Linked DNA regions of Arabidopsis thaliana. The protein of the gene in region 1 interacts with the protein of each later gene in a pairwise test. Each region holds a gene or a part of one and is shown on either strand. Other genes may lie near its edges. The genes, in order: ABCI10 and ABA2.

Region 1 (4,748 bases):
CATGTTAGAGAGGAGGTCTTCGATAGAGACAGAGCCAATGACATTGCATCTCGATCAATTAGAAAATGCTCGAGAAGAAGCATTGTATGTGATGAAAACAAAAACAATGGAGGAAGCTATGGATATTTTTACAAAGGTACGTATTTACAGTAATTTTAGTTTTTGGAGTTCCTTCAAATTTTCTTTTTTTCTTCGTAACGTTAATTAATTAACAAAATTAGCAGGAGACGCATGAGGGGTTACGAGCTAGTGAAGAAAGAGGAGGGAGATGCATAAATCTGAAGGATGAGGAGGATGATGATGATTATGAAGACGAAAGAATGATGTTTATGAGTCCTCATGCTTGGGACATTCATACCGCTCCTTTCTAATTTAGTAATTTGTAACCTCTTTTTTTTGGCTCTTTGATTTTCAGTTTTCCTATACTCCTTGGTCTTTTTGTAAATATCTGAATACTTAAAAAGGATATTAGATGTTTTTACATACATTAAAGAAGGAAAAACCATTGTGAAGCACAATCTAACCGGTTTTAGAACATATCAATCTTAAGAACATATATCCGAAGGCGTGACTAAATAGTAAATTCATAATCTACGTCAAAAAATTTCTTTCATGGTATCTAAGTCTTGAATACATGTTCTTTCAACCTGAACCTAAATCAATCCGACCCAAAAAAAAAAACTCGATAGTGAAACATGTTAATTAAATAAAATTGTTATTGCCTTTCGTTGTGATTGAAAAATTGGGATCTTAACACCATAGTTTTCTTATTATTAATTAATAAATAATATGTTAGTATTGATGGCTGAAATTTCTAAAAAGTTATAAGATTAGGAATTACATTCATAAGGATTAGCTCTTTGACAAGTGCAGTCATGTTCGTCCTTGGGTGATTTGGGTTCCGGTTTTAAGTTTTTACATGTGCACTGAAGAAAACGTTGTTGATACTTTGATTCCATTTCTTTGAAGCATTTCTTCTTTCCGTGAATGCCGCATTTAGCAGGGAAAGTGACGAGATTCCAACAGTCTTGGGGAGGTGCTCCAGCTTCTACCTCTAATTTGTCATCAACCAAAACAAATTGTTAGTTTATAGATATAAGAAAATTAGTAATACCATATAGTTTTTAATTGCGTCGACATGTTCTAGAGCTGCTTTTCTTCTTTGTTTGCAACAATTCTTTTGGTGATTGCAAATTGCAAACAGTCAATAAAAAAGAGTTTAATATAATACCTTGAACATGGCTTAGAATTAAACAGATGGAAACACAAGAAACCATAAACAAAGTAGTACACCACATCCCCATGCTTCAAAAACTGATGATATATATTCTCTATTACTTGGAAAAATTTAACCAAATTTTGTCTGACTCTCGTGATAAATATATTCGCTTATTTAGTTGGAACCACACAACCAAATAATTGTTCCGATAAATTTGAGAGGAAAAACATAAGATGGAGCCAAGTCAACAAGATCGGCAGAATAGGCTTCCAATTTTTTTAAATTCTTACTAAAATTCAATATTTCACTGCTATTTTTCCTTTTTTATTTATTTATTTTGTTATATAAATAATTTTGATGGTTAATTTTTTGTGAGTCAAATCCCAATTATTAAATTTCGAAAGCAAATTCATGATTACATGTGATTTCGAAATTTAAACGCTCAGCTTCAAATTATACCGTAACGTCGGCACTAGAAAACCGAAATAAAATTCGAAATAAACCTCAAACCGTATCAAACCGAACCGGATGATATCGATTTGAAAACCGGACTGGCTTGGATTGAACAAGCGAAGCAACGAGAGAAAGTATCTACGGTTTCTCTGTTGCTTGTATTTTTTGTGTGTCGATTCGACGAAGCTTATTTTTATGGTTTTGCGAGGAAGAAGAAGAAGAAGGAAGCTGCAATTTCAAGTCTTTAAAGAGAATTCTTGAAAATCCTTAAGAGAAATGAATGGTCACTGTTTATTTGCAGCATCTCCTCCTCGTCTCTTCCCTCTTCGCTCTATATCATCGAGTGTTTCTCCATCCGGTAGTTACAGAATCAAATTCTCCGATAATGTCGCCGTTGAGTGTCGGAATCTCTGTTTCTCCGTTAGTACAAGACAAGGTATATCTGTTCCTATTCTCCGTGATTGCTCCTTTCGGATTCCTTCTGGACAATTGTGGATGATTCTTGGTCCTAATGGCTGTGGCAAATCCACCCTTTTGAAGGTCTTTCTCTTTTCTCTTAAACATTGCATTTGCAGAGCAAAGACTTAAGCTTTTGTTAATGAAGTATCATTATTCTTACTTAAGTCATCCTTCAATCTGGTGTAGACTAGGTTTGCTAGTTGCTACTTTGGGCAGAATCTTAGATCATCACACTGTTTAGTGCAATAGCTAATCTTGGCATTTATAACATGAAACTCAAAGAGCATTCAAATCTTTGGATGCTGTTTGTATGTGTAACTAAGACTGATTACAAAGAAATGCCAGTTAAACTGTTTGATCTACATTAACTGCTTGGAACTCTGCAGATTTTAGCTGGTGTAGTGAATCCATCCAGTGGCACTGTCTTTGTGGAGAAGCCGAAGAATTTTGTATTTCAGAATCCTGATCATCAGGTTAAGTTTCTTGCTTTTGCAATGTGAATCATGTGTTTGATTTTATCTTGAAGGATCTTACTTTTTTCCCATCTTTGTTTTCTTTATTGTGAAGTGTTCTTTCTGATTTGTATTGCTGTTTTATAGTTGAGTAGGCTTGTGTGGTTGAGCGTCTTTTTCCATATCACAGACAGCCTTAATCCAAATCTTTAATTATCCTCGAAAAGCTAGATATGCTAATGACATCGAGAAGAGTCATTTTGTTGTCACATCTGAGGGAGATCAGTTAGTAACAGTTGGATTTTGATTCAAGTAAAACCGCTCATTCTGGTCACATCTGAACGTTCTTGTTCATCGCAGGTAGTGATGCCTACAGTGGAAGCTGATGTGGCATTTGGTCTTGGCAAGTATCATGACATGAATCAGGAAGAAGTTAAGTCTAGGGTGATTAAAGCTTTGGAGGCTGTTGGTATGCGTGATTATATGCAGGTCAGTTTATGTACATTGAACAACAATAAGTTGTTTATATCTTCTAGTTCCTTTTACTAAAGTATAGATTTTGGTGTTGTTTCCAGAGACCGATTCAAACTCTCAGTGGTGGTCAGAAACAAAGAATTGCCATTGCTGGTGCTTTAGCTGAAGCGTGCAAAGTGCTATTGTTGGATGAGCTCACAACTTTCCTAGATGAGTCTGACCAGGTAAGGTTTGATTAATTCTAACAACGTGCTAATGAAACACAACTAGTATTGCAAGGGAACCCTTCCATAACTGGAATATTTCAACATCGACATATGATTGTGTTATAGTAGACATTGGAAGTGAGTAACTTGCACAATTGATATAGTATCTAGAAGAAATGAAATGAATTTGACAGATATGTTATGACGTATACGCCTTTTTTAATCAGTGCATATTGTTTTCTCGGGGTTTTTGTTCTGCAGATGGGTGTGATCAAAGCTGTAAAAGATCTGATAAATGCAAAGAAAGGAGATGTGACGGCATTATGGGTGACACATAGGTTAGAGGAGCTCAAGTATGCGGATGGAGCTGTGTATATGGAGAACGGTAGAGTGGTCAGACATGGTGATGCAGCCACCATCTCAGATTTCATTAAAGCCAAACAATCGTCTTACATTGATCAAATTGGTTCTTAACTTCCTTTGCTAAGGATTTTTTTCTTTATTACCTCTATATATATATAGAGGTAATGAAAAGTCGATTATTTGCTAATAATTTGTGAAAAATTGTGATAATATAGCTCTGCAGAGGGTAATGTAGTTAGGAGGGCTCGAACTAGAGTTGAATACGAGTAAACCTCTGTTTTCCCAAAGGGAAAATAAAGAATGTTTGGAGAAAACTCCAGGTTGTAAGTACGTCCCCAAGTATTGATTAGTATAATTAAATTATAGAAAACAAGAAAAAGTTACGAGAGAAAGTTTTGTGCATGTGTGACTATGTATATGAATAATATACATAAAAAAAGTCTAAATTATGTGTTGTGTGCCCCCTATTTTGACTAATACCATTTACTTCGTCAAAGTGATATACCAAAACCAAACTTGTCTTTAATCATGCTAGAATTTCACCACGGGCATCGCTAGTAACCTGTATTACCAAGATGTAATAAATCTTGAGAAAACAAAACAGATTCTAGAACAAAAGGCAGAGTGGATTCGTCACCGAAGCTGAGAAAGGTTACTTCACTTTTATGTGAATATCACAAGGCTTGAGGCCTTACTTAGATGAGTCGACCTACATAAATAAAGAAGATACATTGTGATAATTTTTACCAAAAAAAAGAGACATTTTGATAACTATATTGTAACAGAAATCTATTTGTTTTCTTATAATAACAAAAATTCACATCTTTGTCTCATATTCTCTCTAGGTCCGAGATCATGTTATACTATATAATTCTTATGATTGATGGTTAACACATTAGATTTATACTCAAATTCTGGTATATATCATTCAAACAATACCACCTAACATGTTAAATTAATCGCATAATTCTGTGTTAACAGAAATATTAAATTATGCTTAACTTGTAAAGGTATATCTATATCACATATACCATGTTTATTTACAGCAACCAATGACGATGACTGCTATATTTAGAAGACTTGTCGTTTGTTTTTTATTCGATTTACAACTACTTGCATCTT
Region 2 (4,548 bases), on another chromosome or scaffold:
TAACGAAGAAATCTTGAACTTTTAATTCATAATCTCTCTGGATTTAGGATCAACCATTAGTAGGAGATGTTACGTAAAACAGTCTTTTGCACATTCTTGGTTTGATAAATAACATATTTAAACTAATAACGTTTCAAATGATTCAATCGCGATATTTTTCTAACTATAAGATAGTTTTAGTTGTTGTGAATTTCTGATTGATATATGACCTCAAAAGTAGTAAGTTTATCTAAAGAAGATGAGTGACAATGGGAAGCCCAAAGAGAAAGGAAGTGATGTCGTAATCGGCCCACTCCCACCGCTTATCCTCTCCAATCACTTCATTTTCTCTTTACCATATAAAATCTCCAAACCAATTTGTTTCATCCAAAGAGTTATGGTCCACCATCCACATCTTTCGCAAGAAAAAACTTGCTTTAATAATATTCTTTTCTTTCTTTAGCTAATTAAAATCCATAACAATATTTCTCTCGTCATCAAATTATTTCCTTAAAAATTTATAAGATCGGATATACACTAGAACAAATTTCTGACCTCATGGTTTCTTTCTGAACACAAATCTCTAGACGTGCATCAAAACCATTAGCCACGTGTGACGTTTCGAAACTTTGTTTGGCGACATCTCTTCTACGAAACACCTAAAAGATAAATATGTAACTAAAATAATTTAATTTCCAAAAGAGTGACTAACATCTTTTTCTTTTTTATTTTTGTTATCAAGAGTGACGAGTATTTATACTCGACTTTTCTTTTGGTAAACCACACACACAAAATCTTAAATAAGAAGAATCTTTTAAATTTTTGTGTTGAGTGTGAAACAAAAAAATATGTGTTACAAAATTCTTCTACCTCTTGTTATTCCTCCGGAGAGCTTCCACGAAAATACTCCGGTGGCAGAAGTGACGGTGGCAACAGATGTGGAAGCCACCGCTGGTCACCGTAGCGGTGGTGACGGTGGCGGTGGAAAGAAGAAGTGTGTGTGTTCACCGTCGAAGCATCCAAGATCGTTCAAGTGTAGGTATCATCAACATGAATATCAATGGCTTCCTTCTTCTTCTTCTTCTTCTTCTTCTTCATCCCTCCACAAATAACACATATCATCAATTCATCATGTAAACAATAATTATATTTTTATTATTCATGGTTATTTTGATTCGTTAAGTATTTCAATCAAAGTAGAAATTGTGTTGTGGTTCTTGTTTTTCTTAAAATGCTTATTCGTCAGAATCTTTATATAACGATGTTGTTTCATCTCAAAGTACTAAATATCGGCAGCAATAATCTTTTTAAAGGAATACGTGGTTACTGTGATTTCTGTATAACTTATTAGCTTTTTCGCTTAAAAACGGTTCATAAAAAAATGATGTTACGTGTCGTGACTAATTAATCAACCGTATGAGACTATACTTCTTCACAATTATTTACGCATTTTCATATGGTTTTGGAGTTTCAATTTTCGAGATACAACTTTCACTAGAGAAATATCGGAAAACATAAATTACATTTGTGAAAATTCGTAGAAACACATGTGCGAAGATCAATCATGACCCATGAATGAATGTAATCGATCTCACGGATGATCTACAGAAAGTGAAACCACAAATAACCCAACACTATACTGTAATTCTGTATCATGGACGGTTTGATACGGTTTGGATTTCGGTTCGATTACGAATCATAATTGTATCCTTAATTTTCTAAATCGGATCGGTTTGGTTTGGTGCAAATTGGATCGGTCTAACTTAACGTCTCTAAAATCCGCAAAATGTGCTTATAGTCAAATCCGTTAGTCTTTTATTGGGCTTACAATTTAAGGCCCATAAAAACCCAATGACGAAGCAGGACTTGCTTTTTGATAGCCGTATAGAGACCGACACCAAATAGCCGAGAAACAACGCAAACTCCGATTGAGAGGTGTTTGCATGATTCCTGAGCTTGTCTGTGTCAATAGTGAGGCACTACATCGAGGAATAAGAAAGAAGATCTAAGGAGCTAAAGCTATTATGTCAACGAACACTGAATCTTCTTCTTATTCTTCTCTTCCTAGTCAAAGGTATAAGCTTTCTCCAACTTTTTCCTCTGATCCAACTCTTTTTGTTTGATCTTCGTTTACTTTACCTTTTTTTCCTTCTTGGGTCATTCTAAATACTGAAATTTTGTTCTTTGAGGGTCAAATTAACAGTTGATAATCAGACCATGGAGTTTTTTCAGTTTCATGAGTGTCTTTGCTCTGCTCACGACAGATTTGAGATCTAGTCATGGTTCTGTTTGATTTATTGATGTCAAATCTTGAAATGTTTATGATCTCTAGGTTTCAGTCTCTTTGCTTTTTATTATGATCTTCAAACATTTGGATTAGTTTTATCAGTTCTGATTCAATAAACTAGTGATATACATTTGGCTTTTGTTTACAAATCTCTCAACTTCAGATTTGTTATTTTGTGTCCCATTTGATTCATCTTTACCTCCTTTGCACGTTCTGTTTCAAAACTGGATTTGTGGTCCTTTCTTTTCACCATTGTAGTTTTGTGGCCCAGATCTTTTTTTTTTTATTTTGTGGCCCAGATCAATTTATGAATAAAGTTCTTTTTTTTTCTGTTGCATTTTCTTTCACTGGTCTTAAGTTTGATGTAACATCTCAACCTTATTATTAGGAGACTATGGTGCGATTGGTTTAATCCAATTTAATTACTTGCTTTTAATCTCTTGTGTTCTTGATGTGACAGGCTTTTGGGTAAAGTGGCATTGATCACTGGAGGAGCCACAGGGATAGGTGAGAGCATTGTTCGTCTGTTCCACAAGCACGGTGCCAAAGTCTGCATTGTTGATCTGCAAGATGATCTCGGAGGTGAGGTGTGTAAAAGTCTGCTTCGTGGTGAGTCCAAGGAGACGGCTTTTTTCATCCATGGCGATGTTAGAGTGGAAGATGACATTAGCAATGCGGTTGACTTTGCAGTCAAAAATTTTGGGACGCTTGATATACTTATCAACAATGCAGGATTATGTGGAGCACCGTGCCCTGATATTCGTAATTATAGTTTGAGTGAGTTCGAGATGACCTTTGATGTGAATGTGAAAGGAGCTTTTCTAAGCATGAAACATGCAGCTCGTGTAATGATACCGGAGAAGAAAGGGTCGATAGTTTCCTTATGTAGTGTGGGAGGTGTTGTGGGAGGCGTTGGTCCACATTCTTATGTTGGTTCCAAGCATGCTGTTCTAGGCTTGACTAGGAGTGTTGCAGCGGAGCTTGGACAGCACGGGATACGTGTGAACTGTGTTTCGCCTTACGCGGTTGCAACTAAACTCGCTTTGGCTCATTTGCCGGAGGAAGAAAGAACGGAGGATGCATTTGTTGGTTTCAGGAATTTTGCTGCTGCAAACGCGAATCTAAAAGGGGTGGAACTGACGGTTGATGATGTAGCGAACGCTGTTCTGTTTTTGGCTAGCGATGACTCGCGGTACATAAGCGGAGATAATTTGATGATTGATGGAGGATTCACTTGCACTAACCACTCCTTTAAAGTCTTCAGATGATGCATTTTGCTAAAGAATGTTGTTTAATGTTTATTGTCCGCCAATTTATCATGTCTATCAAATAATTTAACTGTGGAGCTTATTGTGGTTTTAATTGTTACTTTTAGCATTGTAGAAATGTTTGATGTTAACTACATTTCTTACTGGTAGACATTGAACAAAATCAGATTCTCATAATGATTAAAAAGATTGAGTAGCAAAAATATCATAATGATGTATTGATGTTTCTTGAATTAGAGAGGACTACAACTTTGACGAGAAATTGTCTGATTAACAGTATCTACTAGAATCCCACATGCCACTTTTGCCTGTTCATCAAGATAATTATAAAACAAAATTCCATTAATCTGATTAGAAACTGCATACATTTTCTATGATTATATAATCTAGAAAGTCAAATTCAAATGATGAGAAAGTATAAAGTTTGATAAACCAAATAATTGAGTAAAAACTCAAGTTCCTTACCTTTAAAGGGAAACGGAAGAACAAAACGCCAAGTTTCCCGTTAGTCTCCGTAACGGTGTCAAATTCAACGGAGCCTTTAGCTAAATCGTGAATCAAATGAATGACGTCAGGAAACACCATGACGCCGTCAAGCTCAGCCTCCGCGTCAAGGTAAGAAGAACCAAAAGCCGTCACGTGCCCGCCATCAGAACTCACGTGACCTAACGTCTTCCCTCTATAGTCAATCGTGACGTCAAGATCCGTGAAGTCAAAAGAGTACACGTCAGCATTTGATACCTTAAGCGTAACGAGCAACGTCATGTCTATAGACGGCACCGGACGGCGGTGAACGTGCACGTGGGAAATTTTGACCCGTATGATCTTGATGCGTGGATCGGACGGCCAGAAGATGTAGATGAGGATCGAGGCAAAAGATATGAGAAATATAGAGATGATGAAACGGCGTCGTGAGGGAGGAGAAGGATGTGATGAGATCAGAACGGCGTCGTTTAGCTCGTGACTTGATGATGAAGGTAAAGGCTTGTAGTCTGGTAATGACGGAGTTGCTTT

The links.
Region 2: the proteins of ABCI10 (region 1) and ABA2 interact in binary tests that used the Arabidopsis thaliana proteins (3 or more experiments, as listed by UniProt).

Annotation. Positions count from the first base shown.
Region 1 is NC_003075.7:16,097,314-16,102,061, reverse strand, and holds ABCI10 (ABC transporter family protein), read left to right. Parts: upstream 1-1,621; 5' UTR 1,622-1,948; coding exon 1,949-2,212; intron 2,213-2,517; coding exon 2,518-2,604; intron 2,605-2,943; coding exon 2,944-3,072; intron 3,073-3,158; coding exon 3,159-3,281; intron 3,282-3,524; coding exon 3,525-3,737; 3' UTR 3,738-3,992; downstream 3,993-4,748. Other genes in the region: AT4G33467 (uncharacterized protein), read left to right, coding at 1-136, 222-371; SCRL22 (SCR-like 22), read right to left, coding at 240-448, 842-1,054, 1,232-1,304.
Region 2 is NC_003070.9:19,488,983-19,493,530, reverse strand, and holds ABA2 (NAD(P)-binding Rossmann-fold superfamily protein), read left to right. Parts: upstream 1-1,880; 5' UTR 1,881-2,003; coding exon 2,004-2,053; intron 2,054-2,726; coding exon 2,727-3,534; 3' UTR 3,535-3,737; downstream 3,738-4,548. Other genes in the region: AT1G52342 (uncharacterized protein), read left to right, coding at 828-1,091; AT1G52330 (Late embryogenesis abundant (LEA) hydroxyproline-rich glycoprotein family), read right to left, coding at 3,886-4,548. UniProt on the Arabidopsis thaliana protein: Involved in the biosynthesis of abscisic acid. Catalyzes the conversion of xanthoxin to abscisic aldehyde.